Linked DNA regions of Oryctolagus cuniculus. The protein of the gene in region 3 interacts with the protein of the main gene of each other region in a pairwise test. Links are inferred from orthologs where the notes say so. Each region holds a gene or a part of one and is shown on either strand. Other genes may lie near its edges. The genes, in order: SDC4, F11R and SGTA.

The links.
Region 1: the proteins of SGTA (region 3) and SDC4 interact in binary tests that used the Homo sapiens proteins (3 or more experiments, as listed by UniProt). The two-hybrid records come from large-scale screens. The link is inferred for Oryctolagus cuniculus from reciprocal best matches to the Homo sapiens genes SGTA and SDC4.
Region 2: the proteins of SGTA (region 3) and F11R interact in binary tests that used the Homo sapiens proteins (3 or more experiments, as listed by UniProt). The two-hybrid records come from large-scale screens. The link is inferred for Oryctolagus cuniculus from reciprocal best matches to the Homo sapiens genes SGTA and F11R.

The regions. Positions count from the first base shown.
Region 1 is NC_091442.1:13,908,514-13,916,160, forward strand, and holds the start of SDC4 (syndecan-4), read left to right. Parts: upstream 1-2,768; 5' UTR 2,769-2,862; coding exon 2,863-2,925; exon of another isoform or gene 2,926-5,172; intron 5,173-7,647. UniProt on the Homo sapiens protein: Cell surface proteoglycan which regulates exosome biogenesis in concert with SDCBP and PDCD6IP.
Region 2 is NC_091438.1:37,791,219-37,798,765, reverse strand, and holds the end of F11R (junctional adhesion molecule A), read right to left. Parts: intron 3,185-7,547; coding exon 3,116-3,184; intron 3,008-3,115; coding exon 2,900-3,007; intron 2,711-2,899; coding exon 2,564-2,710; intron 2,326-2,563; coding exon 2,123-2,325; intron 1,977-2,122; coding exon 1,874-1,976; intron 1,770-1,873; coding exon 1,662-1,769; intron 1,424-1,661; coding exon 1,411-1,423; intron 1,120-1,410; coding exon 1,071-1,119; intron 911-1,070; coding exon 875-910; 3' UTR 7-874; downstream 1-6. UniProt on the Homo sapiens protein: Seems to play a role in epithelial tight junction formation. Appears early in primordial forms of cell junctions and recruits PARD3.
Region 3 is NC_091447.1:59,201,254-59,208,800, reverse strand, and holds part of SGTA (small glutamine-rich tetratricopeptide repeat-containing protein alpha), read left to right. Parts: intron 1-4,050; 5' UTR 4,051-4,083; coding exon 4,084-4,183; intron 4,184-4,755; coding exon 4,756-4,862; intron 4,863-5,597; coding exon 5,598-5,685; intron 5,686-6,051; coding exon 6,052-6,151; intron 6,152-7,547. UniProt on the Homo sapiens protein: Co-chaperone that binds misfolded and hydrophobic patches-containing client proteins in the cytosol. Mediates their targeting to the endoplasmic reticulum but also regulates their sorting to the proteasome when targeting fails.

The DNA.
Region 1 (7,647 bases), on a different chromosome or scaffold from region 3:
CCGAAATGCTTGCATAGTCAGGGCTAGGCCAGCCAAAGCCAGGAGTCAGGAACTCCAACTGGGTCTCCCATGTGGGTGGCAGAGCCATCACAGCTGCTTCTCAGGGCGCACATTAATGGGCAGCTGGAATGGAAGCAGAGGTGGGACTCCTACCTGGGCACTCTGATACAGGAATGTCCCAAGCCAGAAGTCCGCTCTGAATAAATTATTTTGAAAACAATGGAAATCCATATTTAGAGCTCACCCCTTTATAATAATCTCACTGCACTTTACTGCTAGCTATGCCCACATTCCTACCTGCATGACCTGTGACATCTCATTAGTAACCTGAGATCAGCCACGGGGGAAGTATTTACACTACAGACTTTGGCAAATGTTACAAAGTTGTCCTCGCTGCTGTCCCCAGCTCAGTGTTAAACACTTAACTGCAGAACACTGGCTGCTGAGTAGCCTGAAACTTTCTGCACTCAGAGAAGCTGGTGGGAACAGAAGGAGTCTTGTTCCAGCAATGTGATGACAGGCAGCTAAAATCCCATAGCGATCTACCATCAAAAACCATTTTTACTTTTTAACAGATTTTTTCATTTATGTGAAAGGCAGAGAACTATCTTCCACCCGCTGGTTCACTCTGCATATGAGGCCCACGTCAGGAGCCTTGAACTTTTGTCCGGTCTCCTACGTGGGTGGCAGGGGCCCAAACACCTGGGCAGGGAGCTGTTTTCAGAAGTGGAACAGCCAGGACAACTGGCGCCCATACGGGATGCCAGCATTGCAGGCGGTGGCTTTACTTGCTATGCCACAATGCCGGCCCCCCAAAATGATGTATTTGTTGACAACTAATTAGGCTCTCCTTCAAGTCTTGTAGAAAGCAAAATTGTCAACCATTTGACTTGCTCCACTTCTGACCCAGCTCTCTGCTATGGCTTGGGAAAATAGAAGAAGGGAAAACAGCAGAAGATGGCCCGAATCCTTGAGCCCCTGTACCTACGTGGGAGACCCGCAAGAAGCTCCTGGCTCCTGGCTTCAGATAGGCGTAGCTCCAGCCATTGTGGCCATCTGGGGAGTGAACCAGCAGATGGAAGACCTCTCTCTCTCTGCCTCTCCTCTCTGTGTGTAACTCTGACTTTGAAATAAATAAATAAATCTTTAAAAATACTTTTAAAAAATCTTTAAACAAATAAAACCACATTCCAGCATAAGAAATGTAGTGGTCCTTTTCTATGGAGCACTGCCTGCCTCCAGGACCCTGCAGAAGACAAAACCCCCTCTGCTCAAGCACTCGTATTTGCATATAAATTACACACACCAACCAGCATACTTAACTACCTCTAGATTACTTAAAATACCCAGTGCAATGTAAATGTTATGTAAATAATCCTTACATAGTATTGTTTAAGGATTCTGGACAAGAAAAAGATAAAAGGACAAAAAAAAAAAAAAAAAAAAAAAGCAAGCAAGCAAGCAAGCAAGCAAAAAGCCTACACAGTAGGTTAATCCTCCTCCTGCAGCATCCCACATGGGTTCTAGTCCTGGCCGCTCCTCTTCTGATCCAGCTCTCTGCTATGGCCTGGGAAAGCTGTGGAAGATGGCCCAAGTGCTTGGGCCTCTGCACCAGTGTGGGGGATCTGGAGGAAGCTCCTGGCTCCGGATCCACTCAGCTCCAGCCGTTGCGGCCACTTGCGGGGAGTGAACCAGCGGATGGAAGACCTCTCTGTCTCTCCCTCTCACTGTCTGTAACTCTACCTCTCAAATAAATAAATAAATAAAATCTTTAAAAAAAAAAAAAAGCCTAAACATGTTCAAACAAAATCCCTCCCCCCAAATACAGGTGTTTTCCATCAAGTGTTGCATCCTTGGATGAAGAACCGCGATGAGGCGGGTGGGCAGGACGGGGCTATGCATCCTGGTACCCTGATTGATCATAAGAAGACCCCCCCCCCCCCATCTCCAACAGCTCCTGTGCTAGCACTCCCAAGATGCTTTGAGCAGTTCGAATCCTGGCTATTCTCCACCCACTGTGAGGAGATGAGGGCTTCTGTGAAAGGAGAACAGACCAGATCTCAGAGCCGGCAAACCTTCCGGAAAATTCGAAATCTGGAAGACGAAAAAGCCCTTCAAACAGGTCAGGCACCCTGAGGCCAAAGTCTGAGGCCCATCCGGGACTTCAGTACAGCCCCCAGCTTGGAATGCTTTCTCCGTTTTTACATGGTTGGGGGGAAAAGTCAAAAGAATCATTTTTCACACCATGTGAAGGCGATGGGAAATTCAAATTTCAGGGTCCACAGAGAACGTCTTATTAGAAGACCGCCAGGCTCACTCCTCTGAGCGCTGGGGCGGCGCGTGAGCCGGCACGCCGGGGTTTTAGGGTCCGCAGCAGATGGTCAGACCCGCTAGCACTGAAAAAACGCCGCCCTTTGCAGGAGCCGGCAGACCCCCGCTCGCGCCACCGGGGGTCACACTCGGCACGGGAGGTCGGTCGTCCGCCACCCGGCGGCGCGCTGAAGGCTGGTCTACACGGACGAAGCGGGGCCAGTCCTCAGTCCCCGGGCCTCAGTGTCCCCAGCCGTTAAGTGGGGTCTGCCGCAGGCATGTCCAGGGGCTCCGGGAGGGGAGGACTGGGGTTGACTGGGAGCATGGCCGGCACGCACGGGCGGGTCCCTCGGGGTTTCCAGCCCCAACGGGAGGCGCAGCGCCCAGCAAGCTCGGTGTTCGCGGGGGAATTCCGGGCGGGGTGCGGGTGGCGGGGGCGGGGGTGGGCAGGGCCGGGCCTGGCCGGGGCGGGGCCGGCCGCTATAAGTTGGGCCGCGCGCCCGCCCCGGGCCACTCGCTGCAGTCTGCGCGCCCGCCCTGTGCCGCGGTACCATGGCCCCCACTCGCCTGCTTGCGCTGCTGCTGCTGTTCCTCGTCGGCGCCGCCGCAGAGTCGGTAGGTGCTTGGGGACCCCCGGGCCGGGGGAGACGAGCCGGTGTCTCCTTTGTTCCTGCGAGCCTGGGACTGGAGGCGGGGGGCCACGCGGGGGGATGCGCCGCCGCCCCCTGGACGCCGAGGCCGGGCAAACTTGGTTGGAAACTTTGCTCCGGGACTGGCTCCTCCGCGCGCAGTGCGCTCGAAGCTCGTGGCTCTCGCCGCCTGCCCCGGCCGACGTGACTAAGCCGGTGTCAGCGCTCTGCCCCCGCCCCCTCGGGCCTGTCCCGGGACCCCCGGGCAGGCTCGGAGCGCTGAAGCCCCCGCCTCGCGGTCTGCGTGCCGGGAGAGGGCAGCTCTAGAATCCGGGTGGCCTGGGGATCGGAGAGGGGGCTTGCTGCGTGTGCTCCGAAGGGGGGAGGGGTTTCACATGCCGGGGAGCGGGGAGCTGAGCCCGCGCCTCGCTTCTGGACGCAGCCCCGCCGTCGACTTGGGCGTCTCACTTTCGCCATCTGCACACAGGCTGGGCGCGAATGGGGGGAGCCGCTCCGCTTCTTTAGGGTTCCATAGAAAGTTGGGAGTCTGACCTTTCAAGGGCACCCGGGAGGGGCCGCCGAGGCTCGGCGCTTGGTCAGAAGCTGAATCTCTGCCCTCTGCAATGAGACGGTTCGTTTCTGCCCAGCTGGCGCCAACCCCCCCCCCCCCAGGAGGTTGAAGCGCCCCCCTTGACTGGGGTGAGGGGGTGGGGGTAGAAGGCCCCAGAGAGCTCGGAGAAACCTTTCCTTCTCACTTGGCTGGTCTCCCTCGCGCTTTCCTCCCTCAGCCAGGAGAGAGGCAGCCTGGGCTGGGGGCTAGGGCGCGGAGGCCAGAGATGATCCGGGTGAGCCTTGCAGTTTAATCATTAAAGTTAATTGCTTTGAGAGACCTCGGACTACTTAGAGGCAAAGCTGTCTCTGCCTGGCAGGCTGAGGCCACAGCCAGCAGCGCAAATCCCAGGCCCTCGGGGACTTAATCCAGCGTTCAGCCCTCTTAGGGTGCCGGGCACTGTTCTAGTAGCTTTCTAATAGCTCTTTCCTCCAGCAGAATTCCAACAACACCCCACTGTTTACTGTTCTTCCTCTGGTCCTGAAGGAAGAAAGGTTAGTAACTAGCCGAAGGTCACACAGTTAATTAGGGGCTGAATCAATTTAAATGCAGGTGGCCGGTCATTTATCTTAACTTCCAGGCTTCTGCTACTGGGTGGATCCTGGGCAGCTCAGCGCTGGTTTAGAGCCTGTTAGGGTTTTAGGCTGGAAGGCCTCTGGGAATTCTGGGGTGTGACGCCTTCCCAGTCTGAGGGCAATTTTGCCCAAAGGTCAGTGGCTGAGCCAGGACTAGAACCCACGTCCTCAGCCTCCCTGGTGCTATGCACTACACTGGCCCCCAGAGGAAGTGGCTGATGCGAAGCAGGTGGGAAGGTCTTAAAGGGGACTCTGCCTGGGTGAGGGGGCCCTGGAGGGCTGCTGAAGTTGTCAGAGGGGTGGTCACACTCCCGTTTCTCCCCAGGGCTGCTGAGCCGCCAGGTGCTTGGGGTGAGGAGCAGACAGCTGTGTCCCGGGGGCAGTCCGAGGATGTGGTTTGGGGGAGGGCACTGTGGCAGCCCTGCAAAAGGCCACCTATTGGTGGGGGAGAACTCAGCCAGGACAGCTGCTTCCTGAGACAGGTGTCAGTCTCTCATCCTGACCTTAGCGCTCCCCTTCCTGGCTACCGTCATGACCTCCTGCCTCTCACTGGGCTTCCCGGTTTGTCCCCCACCCCCTCAGGCTGTGGCTGCAAAGGGCTTGGGAGAGGTGATCTCCTGTGCCAATTTTTTTTCTTGTTGCAGGTAGAGAAAAGTGAAGCCAGGAAGAAGGGTTTCCCTAATAGCCATTAGGGTTGACTGAGTACTTTGCAAATGCCAGGTCTGGTGCATTTTATCCTCATAAAAGCCCCTAGCATGGTGGGGATTGTATTGTGCCCACTGTCCAGATGAGGGAAAGTGGGACCAACATGGAGTAGCAGAGAGCACCCAGGCCATCTGAATCTCTGACCAGCAGTCCCCTCCCCGAATGCTGTCTGGACCCCTTCCCAGCGTTAGGATGAATGTCTTTTCCTTGGGTGGCCCTCTTCCCCCATACTGCCACAGGTTCCGGGGAGCAGGACCCAGACTGAGTACCCAGCACCCTCTCCTGTCCTGTTTGGCGGGCTTACCATCCCTAAACCTGTTCTTCCTGTCCAGCCGGGAGCCTCCCCCCCCCCCCCCCCCCCCCGATCTGCTTTCTTGCCACTCCCTCTCTGGCCAATTAAAGGCAGCCTTGTTTTGGGAGTCAGCCCCCCACCCCCCATCCCTCAGCAGCCAGAGGGGTGTTAGTGCTCAGGGGCATGGCCCTCTGACTTGGCCACGAGGCCCGGAGGCCCGGGCAGTTCTGAGGAGGTGTCCCCTACCCACCAGATGTACTTGAACTTCAAGACACTTCTGGTCTGCCCGAGAGTCCGCTGCTTGATTGCCCCCAAGTGGGGCTGGGGGCGGAAGTCTTGAGTGGTCCCTGAGAGCCACTGGGACTTCAACTCCTGGGCCTCGAAAGTTATCAAACCCCCAGGCAAATATTTGGAGGGCCCCATGAGGCTGAGGAAGTGGGCTGGTGTTCCCTGTCTATAAAATGGGTGTTTGCGCTGGACGCCTCCCACAGCCCTTGCTAGCTCTGATATTTGATTAATAATTAAGTGCCAATTGCTCAAAAGGGACTGTGGAACCCATAAGAGCATTTAAGGCATTCCCCTACCTTGGAGAAGCTTGTACTTCCCCGGAGAATTAAGGCACACCACCTCATTCTGGCAGGGGGGAGGTGCCCCCTCCCTACCCCCCCCCCCCAGGGCAGGAACTCTGCTCTGTTTGAGTGAAATACCCGTCCTGTAGCTGGTACTTAGGAAATGCTTGCATGAATAACAATTCATGACCGTAACTTCGTGTTTCTCAACGGCGCACTGAGCGTGTGCATTCCGGGTAGGAATGCCTCCCAGTGACACGGAGGCGGGTGTGATGCCCCTTTTTCTGCAAGAAATTGATGCTCTGAGAAATGTGGTGGCTTGGCGAGGTCAGAACCAGGTCTGACAGTGCACGGCGTCTGCCTGAGTGTCCTCCTTGAACGTTGCTGGGTTTGAAGGCAGAGCCACATTTCTGTCCTGCTGGGTGACCTTGAGCATACGGGGCCCGTGTCCCCAACTCTTAAATGAGGAGGGCTGGATACTGCCTCTGAAGGGTTCTTGCTGCCCATTGAGGAGGGGAGAGGCGCTTTCTTGGCCTCCCTGATGAGGCGCTTAAACAAGTCCCAGTCTCTGAAGAGACGTGGGGTGAACATTCAGCTCCTGCCATCCTCCAGCTCCTAGGAACCGAGGGCTTTTCCAAGGACTTGGAGTGCTGAGCGGGTCTGAATGAGGAACTGGGGTAGCCAGGCTGAGCTGCCAGCCCCGGCTCCCTGTGGGGAGGAATTGTCCTTCAGCCTCCCGGACTGGACTGGGGGTGTGTGTGGTTTCGAAATAAATATTTAAAATCGGGGGCAGGGGCTGGACAGTGCTTTGTGAGTCACTGCAGACTGGCAAGCCTTCCTGAGTCACCCACTTCCTTTCATCCTCCTGGCTAATAGGATGGCTGCGTGCTGGCCGTGCAGGACAGGGCTGCTGAGTCTTACCTCGTCCTCTGGATTCCCCGCCCCACCTCCGGCCTTGAGGGAGGGGTCATATAGGAAATGCTCCAATGAAGCCCTCAGCCTTCACAGTCCCTTGCCTGTGGGTGGACCTTGACATTGCACGGAGTTTAGCCAGTCCTCAAAATCCATCTTTAGCCCTCTTGCAGAGCAGGTGGCATTGTCCACCCACCTCCCCCCAGAGCCAACCTGAGGCTGCACCTGGTCTGGGTTCCCAGAGCAAAGCAGGCATGGCTGGGATTTTATCTGACTCCAGGAGCCTCTGTCACCCCCTCCTTGCTTCCTGGGGCTGGCAGGAGGGCACTGAAACAGTGGTTTGGAGTCGGGCAGATCTAACTCCGGCTCTTAATTGCTGGCTCCGTGGCTTTGGACTTGCTGCTCAAGCTCTCCGAGCCCCCTAGCCTCAGGCCTGAGAGGGGGGAGGTGTCTCTTGGTGACAAGGCCCTTCCTTGCCCAGGCCACCTGGACGCCAGGTGCTCTTTTGAGGATTCCACCTGCCCCCCCTCCTGGAAAGCCTCTCACCTCCCCCATAACCGTATCCAACTCCATAGCTGCAAGGTGGGAAGGGAGGGGTCCAGGGTGGGGCTGCGGAGCCCAAATCTCCTATTTGTTTATCTTAGAAGTGGGCTGTTTGCTAATTATCAGATGAGTTTATATTTAAACAAGAACCAGTTCCCAGCAGCCCCACCTCTCCCACCAGGATCTATAGGGGCCCCATGCTAAGCTGCTTGCAGCATGGAGGGGCGGGGGGGGGGTGGGAGCGGGGGAGAAGGGGCAAGGGCTTCGCCAAGGGTACCCGGGACCCCTCCTCCCGACGCTGCTGGCTGGGACTCTGAGTCTCCCTCCTGTGTTGAAGGGGCACGGAGGCTGCCTGAGTGCTTTGGGGGGCAGGGAGATGGGGCCGAGAAGGTGCAGTGCAAGGAGGGGGCAGCTTTCCCTGCCTGTGCCCTGGAGAGGGAGGAGAGTGCCCGGGAGGGTTTAACCCCGGAGACCAGAAGCTTGACTTCTTGGCTGGTTTGTC
Region 2 (7,547 bases), on a different chromosome or scaffold from region 3:
CCTTCGACAAGTCAACTTTTTATTTCCAACATCCAGCTAAGACAAACGCACAGAAACGCAATCTCACCAAAGAGCTAAGATACCTCCCAACATCCATCCAATTTCAGCATTTGGCTAAGACCACACACACACACACACACACACACACGCACACACGGGCTCAGCTGCCACACACGGCCCCACAGACACACACAGTCTCAGAGGGCTCTGTCCAGTTGTTCCAGCCAAGGGAAGGGTGACGGTCTGGGCTACCAGCTCCAGCTTTTCTTCAGAGCTGTGGTTTTAAATCTTTTCCACTCCGTGTCCCCTGAAGGTTTACTGTGCTTCGGCTTTCCTACGGACACAGCGCCAGTCTGCTTTTGTTCAGACGGAGGACAGGACCCCGTGGCACTTCCGGTGAGGAGACAGAACAGTGGGCTCCAGAGATGGAGGAGATTTAACGTCATCACCAAACAACGGTTCCAGCCGCTCCAGTCTCCGACCCCCACTCCAGAATGGCTGGCACTGGCTCTCCATGGGGAGGGAAACCGATTCAGAAGCCACTGCGGCCCAGCTGGGTAGCGATGGCGGGTTTCAGGAAGCCCCACCCCTCTGGCTGTCTACGTAGAAGGGAGTTAATAGGCACAGCCGGGATTCCTGTCTGACCCCTCATAGGCTGAGGAATACGAATTTTCTACAATCCCAGGCCACTCGGCAGCAGCAGGATTGAGAGAGAGTGTGTACAGGGAGAAGGGGCACATAGCTGACATCATTAAAAAACACATCCTAACTGAGATGCTAGTAGAGGGCCTGTGAAAACTACAGACACCAGGGGCTAGAGTCTAGTAGCACCGGAGTAAGGCAAGCACAGGACCAGGCGGGAGCCAGACCAGGGTCACACCAGGAATGACGAGGTCTGTTTGAATTCGCCCTGGGGAGAGAAAACATCCAGTCAACTCTCTCTAGTTTTCTTTAGCCTACAATCCCCCAAACACAGGCACACACAGGCTGGGAACCCCCTCACTCCCTGGGAGTGTGTGGGGGTGTGCGTGTGTGTGCAGAGGTCCCCTTCCCCAGGGCAGTGTACTCACGTCACTTCTAGCAGTGGGCTGGCTGTAGATCACCTTCTTGCTGGAGGTCCTGCAGATGAAGATGGAAGATGGAGACACTCAGGTCCCCAGGTGCAGAGCCACCCCCTCCCCTCCAACTTCAGAGGGCAGAACCAAGAACTTTACAGAAGTGCTCAGCAGAGAGGTGTGCACAGAGGGAGACAGGACAAGGCCAGGGTCACAGCAAGCAGGGGTAGAAATCCCAAGGTCTTCCCCCGAGGCTGGCTGTCTCCTTCTCCAGCCCATCCCCCTGGGCCCATGCTGCAAACCACATGCATCCACGTTTTCACCTCCGACAATCCCAGGACAACATGTCACTCACCCTTTCTTTGTTCCTAGAAGAGAAAAAAAAAAAAATGGGATCTTGAGTGTCAGCAGGGTACAAGACAGCATGGCACACACAATGAGGGGACTAGCACGGGGCATCTGATACATGCTAGATCAGGTGACCCATGCTCCTGGGGAGGGGGGGAGACACCCATATCCAGGGACAAAGTGTCAGGGTCAGGGCTCGGAGAGCACCCATGAACCCATGCCTGGGATGGAGACAACACAAAGGAGAGCCAAACTCACTGTCAAAGTAGCCTCGGCTATAGGCAAACCAGATGCCTGCGATCAAGACTCCAAGGAGAATCAGCGTGACCAGGACAGCAGCCACAATGCCCCCTACATTCAGCTCCACTGTGAGACACAACACGAGGTCAGGTGCCTGGGTGCTTACCTGTGGTACCAATAACATAGCCACTCAAGGACTGAATGCAAGCACCAACCACACTCTCACTCACCAGCTTCCATGCGCACAGCATTTGACATCACCGGTGTCCCGAATCCATTCTGTGCCTGACAGCTGTATTCTCCAGTATCAAAGGCTGACAAGGGATCAAAGACCTAGAAACAAATTGGCTTTCTGCTTGAAAAAGCCAAGAACCTCTCCCAAGTATCCCCTGATCCTGACTCCAAGTCCACTTTGTTGCTTGTTCAGGGGTTCTGCAACTGTGCCTCTCATACATCTTCCACCCCCACCCCATCCATACCAGCTCCCCTGACTTTTGGTTCAGAGTATAGGAAGAGTTGATGAAGGCACGGTTGTTCTTGGGATCTGTAGGCATCAGCATCCCATCCTTGAACCAGGTGTATTCAGAGGGCGGGGAACCATCTTGTTCTGAGCAGGTCAGTACCACCCGGTTCCCAATGGTGGCGGAGGAGGGAATGTTGACTGTAGGCTTGGATGGAGGCACTGGGAGGGAGAGAAGGAAAGAGGTGCTGAACACAATGGAGGGGTTGGGGGTGTTGCCCGAGTCCAAGTAGCTGCCTAGGATGACACCCCGATCCAAACCCTGTGGCCGCCCTCCCTTGGCAGGCCCCTAATCTGCATCCAGCCAAGGGCTCATCTCCTCTTCGTCATCAACGAGTTCCAGAGCTCAGCAGGGTCTGACGCGGGCTTAGGGAAACAGTCGAAAACACTGTGCACATACCAAGCACAGTGAGCTGGATGGTGACCTCCCCATAGTTGTTGCCGTCGTCCTCAGAGACCATGCATGTGTACGTCCCAGTGTCTTTCCGAGTCACGGAACGGAAGGTGATGCCGCTCGGTGAGAAGGTGACTCGATCCTCATAGGAAGCTGCCAGGAGCAAGGAAGCAAAGGCAGAGCAGAGTGAACAGAGAACAGGAGAACCAAGGAAGGTGGGACCCAAGGTGTACGTAGGTCCTCTTCTTCCTCCAGGAGGCAGAAGGGGAAGGCCAGGGAGACCCAGGCATGGATCAATGATTCCCCAACCTTGGCAATGAGGAAGGAAGCGGGACAACTCACCTGTGATCTTGCTGTTATAGCAGACAAGGCTGGTGGTTGTACCTTGGACAAACTTCCACTCCACACGGGGATTGGAGAAGCCAGAGTAAGTGCAGGGCAACTTTGCCGCTGCAGAGGGTCGAAAGGAGAAGACGGAGAATGATCCCAACCCCTGGCCCTGGAACCCGCTCACCTCACACCCACCCTGCCCCTGCTCCACAGCCCCTCCCAACTCACGATTATTCTCTGCAACTCTGACTTCAGGTTCCGAAGTGTAGACTGTCCCCTTGCCCAGCGCCAGTGAACCTGAGAAGGAAAGAGGTGGGCCCCATCAGCACACAGAACAGGGCTTCTCAGCCGAGATCCTCAGGGGAAAGGAGTCAAGAGATTCGAGCTGAGGCTGGTGCTGTGGAGCAGCAGGTAAAGCCGCCACCTGTAGCGCCGGCATCCATATGGGCGCCGGTTCAAGACCCAGCTGCTCCACTTCCAATCCAGCTCTCTGCTATGGCCTGGAAAAGCAGTAGAAGATGGGCCCCGTGCTGGGACCCCTGCACTTGTCAAAGCAATCCTGGGAGGAAGCTGCGATGCTGCAGGCAAGGCAAGGAGGGTGGGCAAAGGAGGAGCAGAAGGAATGAGGATGATACTCAGCATTTGGGGCCCGCTGGGTGCTTCCCAGAGGGTTTTCACATGTCAGCAGGACAAGTATTATTATCCCAATTTTACACAAGGAACTGAAACTAATAGCAGTTTAAAAAAAAAAAAAAAGGTCGGCACCGCGGCTCAGTAGGCTAATCCTCCACCTTGCGGCGCCGGCACACCGGGTTCTAGTCCCGGTCGGGGCGCCGGATTCTGTCCCGGTTGCCCCTCTTCCAGGCCAGCTCTCTGCTGTGGCCCGGGAGTGCAGTGGACGATGGCCCAAGTGCTTGGGCCCTGCACCCCATGGGAGACCGGGAGAAGCACCTGGCTCCTGGCTTCAGATCAGCACAGTGCGCCGGCCGCAAGTGCACTGGCCGCGGCGGCCATTGGAGGGTGAACCAACGGCAAAAAGGAAGACCTTTCTCTCTGTCTCTCTCTCTCACTGTCCACTCTGCCTGTCAAAAAAAAAAAAAAAAAAAGTGCTAGTCCGAGGTGGAGCCAGGACTGGAAGTGGGCTCCAGCAGCTCGTGAGAACCTCCCACCTGCCAAACAGAGAAAGAAGAGAAAAGGTGCTGGGCGGCGTCGTGGCATAGCAGGCAAATCCCACATGGGCGCTGGCTCAGGTCCCACCTTTCCCACTGCCTTCCAGCTCTCTGCTGTGGCCTGGGAAAGCAGCAAAAGATGGCCCAAGTGCTTGGGCCCCTGCACCCATGTGGGAGACCTGGAAGAAGCTTCTGGCTTTTGGCTTTGGCCTGGTCCAGCACTGGCCATTGCAGCCATCTGGGACGTGAAACAGCAGGCAGAAGCTCTCTCTTTCTTTCCCTCTCTCTCTACAACTCTTCCAAAGTAAATAAATAAACCTTTAAAAGAAACGGTGCTGTGGTGTGGGAGTGGAGAGAGGAAGTGAGGAGCCAGGAGGCTAATAAAATAAGAAGGGGGATGGGCATGGGGTCCACAAGAGGGGGAGGTCCCCACATATGTAACACAATAAGAACCAATGACATGGGGCTAGCACTGTGATGCAATGAGTAAACCCAGCGCCTACAGTGCCGGCATCCCATATGGGCACCGGTTTGAGTCCCGGCTGCTACACTCCCTATCCAGCTTTCTGCTATGGCCTGGGAAAGCAGTAGATGATCCAAGTGCTTGGGCCCCTACACCAGCATGGAAGACCCGGAAGAAGAGGGCTGATAGCGGAGGGCCTTCTTTTGGCAGTATTTCCAGCAGCTGGGGCAGTAGGGCCTTCATTCTTGGAGGGATCTGGTTTGAAGAGCTCCTGTGCCTGTGCATGTCACAGGAGGCAAATCGTAGAATTTAAGCTTCTTTAAAAAGGAGCTGGTGCTGTAGCTTAGTAGGTTAAACCTCCACCTGTGGCGCCAGCATCCCACATGGGCACCGGTTCATGTCTCGGCTATTCTACTTCCAATCCAGCTCTCTGCTATGGCCTGGGAAAGCAGCAGAAGATGGCCCAAGTCCTTGGGCCCCTGCACCCACGTGGGAGACCCAGTGGAAGCTCCTGGCTCCTGGCTTTGGGTCAGCCCAACTCCAGCCATTGTGGCCATTTGGGGAATGAACCAGTGGTTGAAAGACCCCTCTCTCCCTCTCTCTCTCTACCTGTGCCTCTCTGTAACTCTTTCAAATAAATAAATAAATCTTAAACAAAAAAAAAAAAAAAAAATGAACCAATGGCAGAAGATTCTGGAACCACACAATGTGGCCACAAAACTGCACTTACACAATTACCCTCGTTCATGTTTTCACAACTCAAATCTAAGAAGTATGCTTTCATTTGCAGCTGTAAGTCAGAGTCCTGGCTTCCTAGAGCAGTGCATAAAGACCGGTGCAATGCCCACATCTGCGTGCATCAAGCACATTTTCTCGTTATTCACTAACCACGGCCTCCTGACCTGAGACCCCCTTCTGCATCTGAAGGTGAAGGTCTGAACCAGATGCTCCGTAAAGTTTTGGGTTCTTCTTCCCTCTCCGTTGGCATTACATCTAGACAACGCTTCAAAATACCTTTACTTCAGGGGCCAGCGTTGTGGCACAGCGGTTTAAGCTGCTCAGCCCCCATTGAGCATCAGTTCAAGTCCCAGTTGCTCCACTTCCAATCCAGCTCCCAACTAATACGCCTGGGAAGGCAGCAGAAAATGATCCAAGGACACACAGGAAACCCAGATGGAGTTACAGGCTCCTGGCTTCAGCCTGGCCCAGCCCCAGGCAGTGTGGCCATTCAGGGAGTAACCTGTCTGCAACTCTGCCTTTTAAATAAATAAAGTAAATCTTCAAAAATAAATAAATACGTTTATTTCCATCTGACATGACAACACTGTGAATTTGTGCTGATAACTATTACTTCTCCCATTTCACAAACAAGGAAACTAAATGTCTCAAAGGTTCAGTGGTTGCCATGAGAGTATTTCAGGCATGGAAAGCCAAGACATTCTGGCATTAAAAAAAAAAAAAAAAAGGACCTAAATGAAAGATCTCTGTGAGTGAGATCCCAGTGGAAAGAACAGGTCTTCAAACAAGGAGGTACCTTTCTCTGAAGGGAGGAGAGAACTTCCACTTTGACTATGACCTTGTCTAAATAAGAGTCGGAGAACTCAAAAGGCTTCCATAGCCTTGGAAACTCATGACTGGAGCATAGGGAGATTACTGATGCCATAAACAAGAGCGTCAATTTGTTAAGTCAACAACAGGAGTCACTGTGCACTTACTCCTCATGTAGGATCTCTGTCCTTAATGTGCTGTACATTGAGATTTAATGCTATAACTAGTACTCAAACAGTATTTTTCACTTTGTGTTTCTATGTGGGTGCAAACTGTTGAAAGCTTTACTTAATGTATACTAAACTGATCTTCTGTATATATAGAAAATTGAAAATTAATCTTGATAAGAATGGAAGGGGAGAGAGCGCGGGAAAGGGGAGGGTAGCGGGTGGGAGGGAAGTCATTGGGGGAGGGGGAAGCCAATGTAATCCATAAGCTGTACTTTGGAAATCTATATTCATTAAATAAAAGTTAAAATAAAAAAAAAAAAAGGCTCAGTGGTTGGCCCGAGGTTTCAGAGCAAGGAAATGACAGAGCTGAAGTGCCAGAGGCTTCCTCCTGCATCCCTTGTGTTCTATACCCTTCTCTTGTCTGGTAAATACAGCTGTTCCTCAGAACTGCCGTCGGTTTAATGGAGACAAACTATGTAACAAAATGGCATACTTTTTAAAAAAGATCTATTTATTTATTCAAGGGTGAGGAGAGATCTTTGTCCCCTGCTGGTTCACTCCCCAAACGGCTGCAATGATTCAGACTGAGCAAAGCCAAAGCCAGCTTCATCCGGGTCTCCCACGTGGGTGCAGGGGCCTATGCACTTGGGTCATCCTACGCTGCTTTCCCAGGAGCATTAGCAGGGAGCTGGATTTGAAGTGGAGCAGCTGGGTTTTGAACCCGTGATCACATGGGATGCCACTGCTGCACACAGAGGCCCTCAACTGGCCCTCAACACCAGCCCCAAATATTGCATTTAAACCAAATGGCCTCTACTGAACAGAAAGCTCTTCCTGAGGATGTGGAAGTCTCTTACCGGGCTCTCATCAAGAGTGTTGGCAACAATGGGGCGGGCATTCGGCACAGCAGCTTAGGTCCCTGCTTGCCATGCCCACATATGCCGTAGTGCCTCGTTCAGGTCCTAGAAGTCTGTTTCAGATCCAGCTTCTGCTGAATGAACACCCTGGAAGGCAGCAGAAGACGGCTCAAGAATCTGGATCCCTGTCACCTACGTGGGAGACCAAGCTGGAGCTCCTGCCCCAACCCCGGCAGTTGCAGGCATTTGGGTAGTGAACCAACAAACAGATCTATTTCTATTTCTCTCTCTCTCTTTCTCTCCCTCTGTCTGTATCTTTCTGCCTTTCAAATAAAGTCAAATCAAACTTAAAAAATAAAAAGATCATGAAACATCTTGATTTTCAGCCAAGTCAGCCTTCTCTGTTTTAAGGATGGGAATTTTGGTTTTTAAAGATTCTCTTTTTTTTTTTTT
Region 3 (7,547 bases):
GGGCGGGCAGCGGGCACCGTGGACACCAGGCCGGGGGCGCGGCGGGCAGCGGGCACCGTGGACACCAGGCCGGGGGCGCGGCGGGCAGCGGGCACCGTGGACACCGGGGCGGGGGTGGGGCGGGCACCGGGGAGGCCGGGCCGGGGGCGCGGCGGGCAGCGGGCACCGTGGACACCAGGCCGGGGGCGCGGCGGGCACCGGGGAGGCCGGGCCGGGGGCGCGGCGGGCAGGAGGCACCGTGGACACCGGGCCGGGGGCGGGCGGGCAAGCCCACCGCCTCCCTCCGGCGCTGCGCTGCCCGGGCAGACCCTTCCCCCTCCGAGCTCTCTGAGCCCGGGGTCGCTTGGACGCTGCCGCCCGCGCCGTCGGAGGGGGAGCGCGCCTCGGCGGGTGCCCGGAGCGCGTGGGCGACGTCTCGTCCTGGTCCGATGTTGGGGTGGGGGGTTGTCCTGCGTCCCCCTGGGAGCTGGGGTGTCAGCCTGTCCCGGGGTCGTTTTGGGGGGGGCCATGCGTGGTGCCGGGGCAGGGGGTGCACCCCGTGTGCCGTCTTGCGGTGCCCAGGGCATAGCCTGGGGGTGGCCCCGAGCCTCCCTGGTGCTCAGGGTGTGTGCGGGTTTATGCGGAGGGGGAAGACGGGCCCATGGGAGTGGCGGCTCCGAGCCCGCCTGCCTGGGTTCGGGGCTCCGGGCCGTGTCCGTCTTTCTGTGTAATGGGGAGCCTGGTCGCCACCAGCCCGGAGGCTGAGCAGGCCCGGGAGCCACAGTTTTTGTGAACAGAATCCGCCCCCCCATGGCCACGCTCCTCCCTCGGGCACCCTCCGGCCGAGGCTGGAACCGCAGTGTCGTGACCTCTGGCCCAAGGATATGAGGGTTCCTGGGAGGGCGAGTGACCCCCGCGGGGACTGCTCTGCCCAGCCCGGGCCCCTGGGGAGCTGCAGCCGCACTCGTGCCCGGCCCGGCCCGAGTGGGGGAGGCAGGCAGGCGTGGGGGACCCAGGAGACCTCCCGGGAGCTCCCAGGTTTGGACGGAGCAGGTGCAGGGGTTCCGGCCCGTGGGACGGCGGGGGCGTCGCCAGAGCTCGGGGGGCTGCGGCTGGAGCGTGCGGACGCCCGGGTTTCTCTCCTGGGGACGCTGCGGGACTGGGTGGCGCCCGGAGCCCCCGGGAGGACCCCGCGTCTGCCCGCACTCCGCGCGGAGGCACCGCTGCCTCCCGGGAACACAGCGGGGCTCCCGCGGGGCGTGGCTACGCCTCCAGGGTGGCGGAGGGGCGGGGCCACGAGTCCACGGGGGTCCCCGCGCTCAGCACTGCAGGGGAGGGGGGCAGCGAGCGGCGGCTGCCGTGTCCGGGTTCTGGCGGCAGGATGGGGGGTAGAGTCAGCGGAAGGGGGCTCGGAGCAGCCCACGCGGGACCCGTCTCTGGGACCCGGCGGCCCACCCTGGCCTCTGCCTCCGCGCCCCAGCCCAGGCCTCGCGGTGGCCTTTGGAGGAGGCGTGGCCGCCACTGCGTGCCGTCCCCCCCACCCCGCTGCCCCCGGCCAGAGCCCACAGGCTGCCATTGTTCCGCGGGCACCGGGGGCGGCGCTGGCCGCCTGCTCGGCCAGCCTGGCGGGTGTGCACTGAGTCCCGGGTCCCGCCCTCCCCCGGATAGGGGTCCTCGGGCGGCGGGCGCGCCTCGCTGACCCTCGCTGACGGGCGGCCTCTCTTCTCTGGCCAGTGGCGCTCAGCTGGGGCTGGCGGGGGCGGTCCGCGGCTGTCACGGCCGGGGCTGTTCCTGGCACGGAGGGAGCACAGCCCGGGGCGCCGCTCCCCGGCCCGGAGGCCCGCCCTGCGCACGCGTGACTGCAGAGGGGGGCAGGTGTGAGGGTCAGGCAGCCCCCCCCGGAGTGAGGTCAAGTGTGTGCAGCGCCCGGGGCGTCAGTGGAATCCCCGAGACCCAGGGGTCTCATGGGGCGAGCTGGGGGCGCCGCTCAGCCTCGTGCAGGGCAGGGGCCCCGCCCCCATTCCAGAAAGGCCAGGCCGCCGGACCGCCCACGCCTCGCAAGGCCAGGGACGGCGAGGGGGACCGGGGCCCCCGGGGCGCGGGCAGGGGGCAGCCAGCGACCAGGGCCCGTCTCTCCAAGGTGGGGGCAGGAGAGGCCTGGGGCGCGGTGGGGGTGGGCGGTGTTCCGGCAGGGGGTGGCGAGCGCAGAGGCGCGGAGGCTCACCCGAGGGGGGAGGCGGCCTCTTGGTTTTCTGACCCCCGGGACCCCCTCATGGCTCAGGTGAGGGGCAGGGAGCAGCCCCCCGCGCAGGCGCACACCCCCCGGATGGTGCTGGCCCCCCCATGGCTCAGGTGAGAGGCAGGGAGCAGCCCCCCGCGCAGGCGCACACCCCCCGATGGTGCTGGCCCCCCCATGGCTCAGGTGAGGGGCAGGAAGCAGCCCCCCGCGCAGGCGCACACCCCCGGATGGTGCTGGCCCCTGTGTCCGGAGCGCTGAGGTGGGCCCCACAGCGTCCATCGAGGTCCTCGTTTGTCTGCGGGGCGCCGGCCAACTGCTCAGGGGCCCGGCCCCCGACTGTGCCGAGATGGGGCGGAAGCCCCCAGCCTCCCCCAAGCTCCCACCCCCGGGTGGCGGGGAGGGAATTCGATTTCCCAGGACACAGTGGGACGTGGCCTCCTGCCCTCCGCTCCCCTGCCGTCGCCACGCCCCTTCCCGCCTGCGGCCGCCTCCGCCCGTGGACGCCCACAGCACGCAGCCCTGTGTCCGGCCGTACCTCTCGGGCCGCCTGGGCGAGCGCGCGTTCCCTGGGAGAAGCGAGAGCCACTCCCGACCAGCCCAGCGACCACGCGGGACCTGCTGCTGTGTCCCCCGCCACAGGCTGCGCCACCACCCTGCACAGGTGCACGGCGCCCGTAGCCGCTGTGGCACAGCCCCCTGCACGCCGCGGCTTCAGTGGTCGGGGGATGGGGCAGCCGCTGCCCAGGTCCTAGGCCGAGGGCGGCCGCGTCCCCGGCCTGCCCCAGCTGCCGTGGCGGCTGGCGTCCTCGGCGCTCCTTAGCGCTGGACCAGTCCCCCCAGCTCCCTGTCTGTCCCGCGTGCAAAGCTTCGGGTCTTACGGGGCCCGCCCTGGCGACCCAGCCCAGGCAGCCCCTGACGGCACCCGGCACTCGGGGAGGGGCCTGTGAGCGTCCGGCACCCCTCCCGAGGCCGCGTCCTGGCTCGGGGACTCCGGCCCTCCTGGGTGCCGGCCGGGGTGTCCTCCTGCGTCACTTTCATCTGTCGGTGGCCGGACAGCAGAGGCCGGGACTCACTCGGCCCCACCCGTGTGCCCAGCACCGCGCCTCTCCCACTCCCCCCTCAGCCTGGGCCCCCAGGGCACGGTCATAGCGAGAAAGGTCACCCAGCCCTGTGGGCAAGGGCCAGGGAGTGGCCTCTGGGAAGGTGGCCGCCAGCCCAGCCGCGGGGAGCTGGCGGGAGGACAGGAGAGGCGGGACACGGCTGCCGGCCGGCCCCGTGTCCCGTGGACGCCCCGTTCTGCGCTGCACCCGTCACTCGGGGAGTGCGTCGGCTCCTGTCTGAGAGCTCGGCCCGGGCCGCACCTCGCTGTGTGGGCTGGCACAGCGTCCAGCGGCTCCCGGACGGTGTCCAGGGGTCGATGGAGGCTCGGGGGGGGGCAGAGTGGGCCTGGACGCCCCCCCTGCGGGCTGCTCCCTCGCTCGCCTCTCCCCTGCAGAAGCGCGTGTGGCACCGGTGGCCGCAGACGGGGCTGAAGCCCACGGGCTCCCCAGGAGGGGGGGTGGGGCACCGCCCCCAGGTGCTGGGTGAGGGGGGGACGCGGGAACTGGGGGCTGGGGCGGCCGCCGGGGCGTAGGACCAGGTCCCCGGCCCGGGCGCTCCCTGCCCCTCCCGCCGCCTCGCGCTCCGGACGCCCGGGGCTCCCCTGGCCTCGGCTGGGAAGTGGGCGGATCCCCGCACTGGCCCCTCCCCGCGGGGGCGGGATTGGCCGCAGCGCTCTGAGCGGCTGCCCGGCAGCTGGGCCCCGGACTCACGCCCTGCGCTCGGACCCGCAGACGCTGGAAGCCGTCCGGCGTCCCCGTCTCGAGATGGACACCAAGAAGCGCCTGGCCTACGCCATCATCCAGTTCCTGCACGAGCAGCTGCGGCACGGCGGGCTCTCGTCCGACGCCCAGGAGAGCTTGGAAGGTGCCCGCCGCCCTCCCGCCCCGCCCCGCCCCGGCGCTCACCCACGCGGACGCCCGTGCCCCCTGCAGGGGCACCCACGCCCCCGGCCCCTCCAGCCGGGGCCGGCTGCTCCCGCCGGCACCAGAGGCGCTCTCCGTGGGGTTTGCATGGCCGGCCCTGGGGCTGTCTGCCCGCTGGGCAGCGCGGTGTGGGCACAGCAGTGGGACGGAAGTGGCCCCCCGCCAGGCCCCTCGTGGAGGAGGCCGGGGCGGACAGTGCCCGCGGGATGCCCCTGACTGCCGAGTGCGCTGGGCGGGCCGGGTGGGGGTTCTGGCGCGGACCCGTCCTGAGCTGGATCCAGCACCCCCCCCCCCCCGCCGTGTGCGGCAGGGCCGAGCCCCCACACCGGGAGCCCCAAGTCACCACTGTGTCCTTGCTGTGCCCACCGCCCTCGGTGCCCTGGGCCCGTGTCCCGCCTGGGGTTGATGGGAGCTGGGGGACCCCCACCCGTCCTTTGTGAAAAAAAGCCAAAGCCGCGGCAGCAAAGCAGGCCCCGCCCAGGCATGCGGTCAGCGAGGCCTCTGTCCCCACAGTCGCCATCCAGTGCCTGGAGACGGCTTTCGGGGTCACGGTGGACGACAGCGACCTGGCGCTGCCCCAGACCCTGCCGGAAATCTTTGAAGCGGCCGCCACCGGCAAGGTGAGCCCGGGGCCACCCGGCCCCCATTCCCCAGCCTCAGAACAGCGGCAGGGGGCGCGGTGGGCTCTCCCTGGGCAGGAGAGGGGCGGGGGAGGGTGTGCGCCCTGACCTGGTCCGGGCAGCAGGGGGCGCCGTGGGCTCTCCCTGGGCGGGGAGGGTGTGCGCCCTGACCTCAGCCGGGCAGCAGGGGGCGCTGTGGCTCTCCCTGGGCGGGGAGGGTGTGCGCCCTGACCTGGTCCGGGCAGCAGGGGGCGCCGTGGGCTCTCCCTGGGCGGGGAGGGTGTGCGCCCTGACCTCAGCCGGGCAGCAGGGGGCGCCGTGGCTCTCCCTGGGCGGGGAGGGTGTGCGCCCTGACCTCTGCCGGGCAGCAGGGGGCGCCGTGGGCTCTCCCTGGGCGGGGAGGGTGTGCGCCCTGACCTCTGCCGGGCAGCAGGGGGCGCCGTGGGCTCTCCCTGGGCGGGGAGGGTGTGCGCCCTGACCTCTGCCGGGCAGCAGGGGGCGCCGTGGGCTCTCCCTGGGCGGGGAGGGTGTGCGCCCTGACCTCTGCCGGGCAGCAGGGGGCGCCGTGGGCTCTCCCTGGGCGGGGAGAGTGTGCGCCCTGACCTCGGCCGGGCAGCAGGGGGCGCTGTGGCTCTCCCTGGGCGGGGAGGGTGTGCACCCTGACCTCGGCCGGGCAGCAGGGGCGCGGTGGGCTCCCCTGGCCGGGGAGGGTCTGAGCCCTGACCTTGGCCGCAGCAGGAGACGCAGCCCGAGCCGAGGAGCCCCGAGCGGACCCCGCCCTCGGAGGAGGACTACGCGGAGGCAGAGCGCCTCAAAACCGAAGGTGGGCGGGGACGAGGGGAGGGGGCGGGGTTAGCCCAGGTGTGGAGACGCGGAGCCCCCGGCTGCCCGGATCCCCGGGCCCACCGCAGTGCTGCCCCGTGCCAAGGTCACCGCAGCTGTGGCAGCCTTGGCGGGGCAGCGGCCCCAGCGTCTGTCCGCACGTGGGGGAGCGTGGTCGCCGCGCAGCCAGGAGCGAGCGAGGCTCCGACGCTCCCTGCGTGCAGGGCCCCGCGGACGTCGCGCCGGGGGCAGTGGGCAGGGCCTGGGGGGAGCTGAGCGTCCGGAGGCGCTGTGCCCCGGGCGGGTGGGCGCCCCCAGGGCCGCGAGCTGTGCCGCGGGGCAGCGGGCCTGTCTCCCTCGTCCCCAGGGAACGAGCAGATGAAGGGGGAGAACTACGAAGCCGCCGTGCACTTCTACGGCAAAGCCATCGAGCTGAACCCGGCCAACGCCGTCTACTTCTGCAACAGGTGCGCGCGGGGGGCGTCGGGGCCGCTAGGGGTCGGTGGTCCAGCTGCGCACAGGACGCCGAGCCGGGGAGGGGTCAGAGCGCGGAGGGGTCAGAGTGGGGAGGGGTCAGAGCGGGGAGGAGTCAGAGCGGGGAGGGGTCAGAGCGGGGAGGGGGTCGGGGGGGAGGGGTCAGAACGGGGAGGGGTCAGAGTGGGGAGGGTGTCAGAGCGGGGAGGGGGTCGGGGGGGAGGGGTCAGAACGGGGAGGGGGTCGGGGGGAGGGGTCAGGCCGGGCAGGTGCTCCAGAGCCGGGCAGCGTCCCGTGTGCACCGAGCCCCCCCTCGGCCTGGGCGGGGTCACGTGCACCCCACGGACCGACCCGGTGCCTGGAAAGCTCCCGACTGAAGCGTTTGGGTCACGCGTGTGACACTGCGAGTGTCCGGCCCAGCGGTTCAGACGGAGGGCCTGGCCCGGCTCCCTGCTCCGGAGGGCCCAGTGCTCGGGTCCCTGCTGCCCACGGGAGCCCCGGGAGCGCCCCCCACCCCGCTGCAGCTCGGCCGTGTTCTCTGGTCTCGGGGCGTGTCCGCGCTCTCGCCGGGGCAGCCGGGCCGGCTGTGCCCCCGCACTCTGAGCGTTTGTGTGGTTCGGGGCTCCTTGGAGAGGCCCCGCACCCACGGTCGCCATGGGTGGGGGCCCCCTCGTGACCCTCGTCTCTGGCTGGGCCCGTCCCACGCATCGAGCCACCTCTGTGACGTGGGCGGGTTCCACACGGCCCAGCCTCGGTTCTGGCGTCCCCGGTTCTGGGCGGCGTCCCCGAGAGGGTCAGGGCCAGCTCCGCTTCTCTCTGCAAGTTTATTTCATGTATCTGAAAGGCAGAGTCACAGGGAGGTGGCCGCAGCGGCCAGGGCTGGGCCAGGCTGAAGCCAGGAGTCCATCCGGGTCTCCCACGCGGGTGCAGGGGCCACCTTCCGCTGCTTCCCCCGGCCACAGCAGAGCCGGATGGGAAGTGGAGCAGCCGGATTCGAACCAGTGCCCACGGGGGGTGCTGGTGTCACTGTGCGGGCTCCTCTGTGCTTTCTGGATGGGAGTGCGGGGGTGGGACTAGAACCCGGTCACGGACGGCAGCCAGGCCCCCCCACGGCTGTGCGCGGTGCACTCCCGCTGCAGCCCCCTCGGCGGGGTGAGCGCACGGGGTCCCCGGGACCACACGGGGCGTGGCAAGCTGGGGCTGCCGCCTAACGGACCCCGCACGGTCGTGACAGCTGGGAGGTGGCTGAGCAGGGTCCTGCTGCTGGCCTCCCCGGCCCTCGAGCGTCTGCCCGCTGGACTTGTGGCTCCATGGCCGGCCCCTGGGACAGCCTCGCCACGGCCCGCTTTCCAGATGGGGCGCTGAGGCTGCGCCCCGACCGCCCCTGCC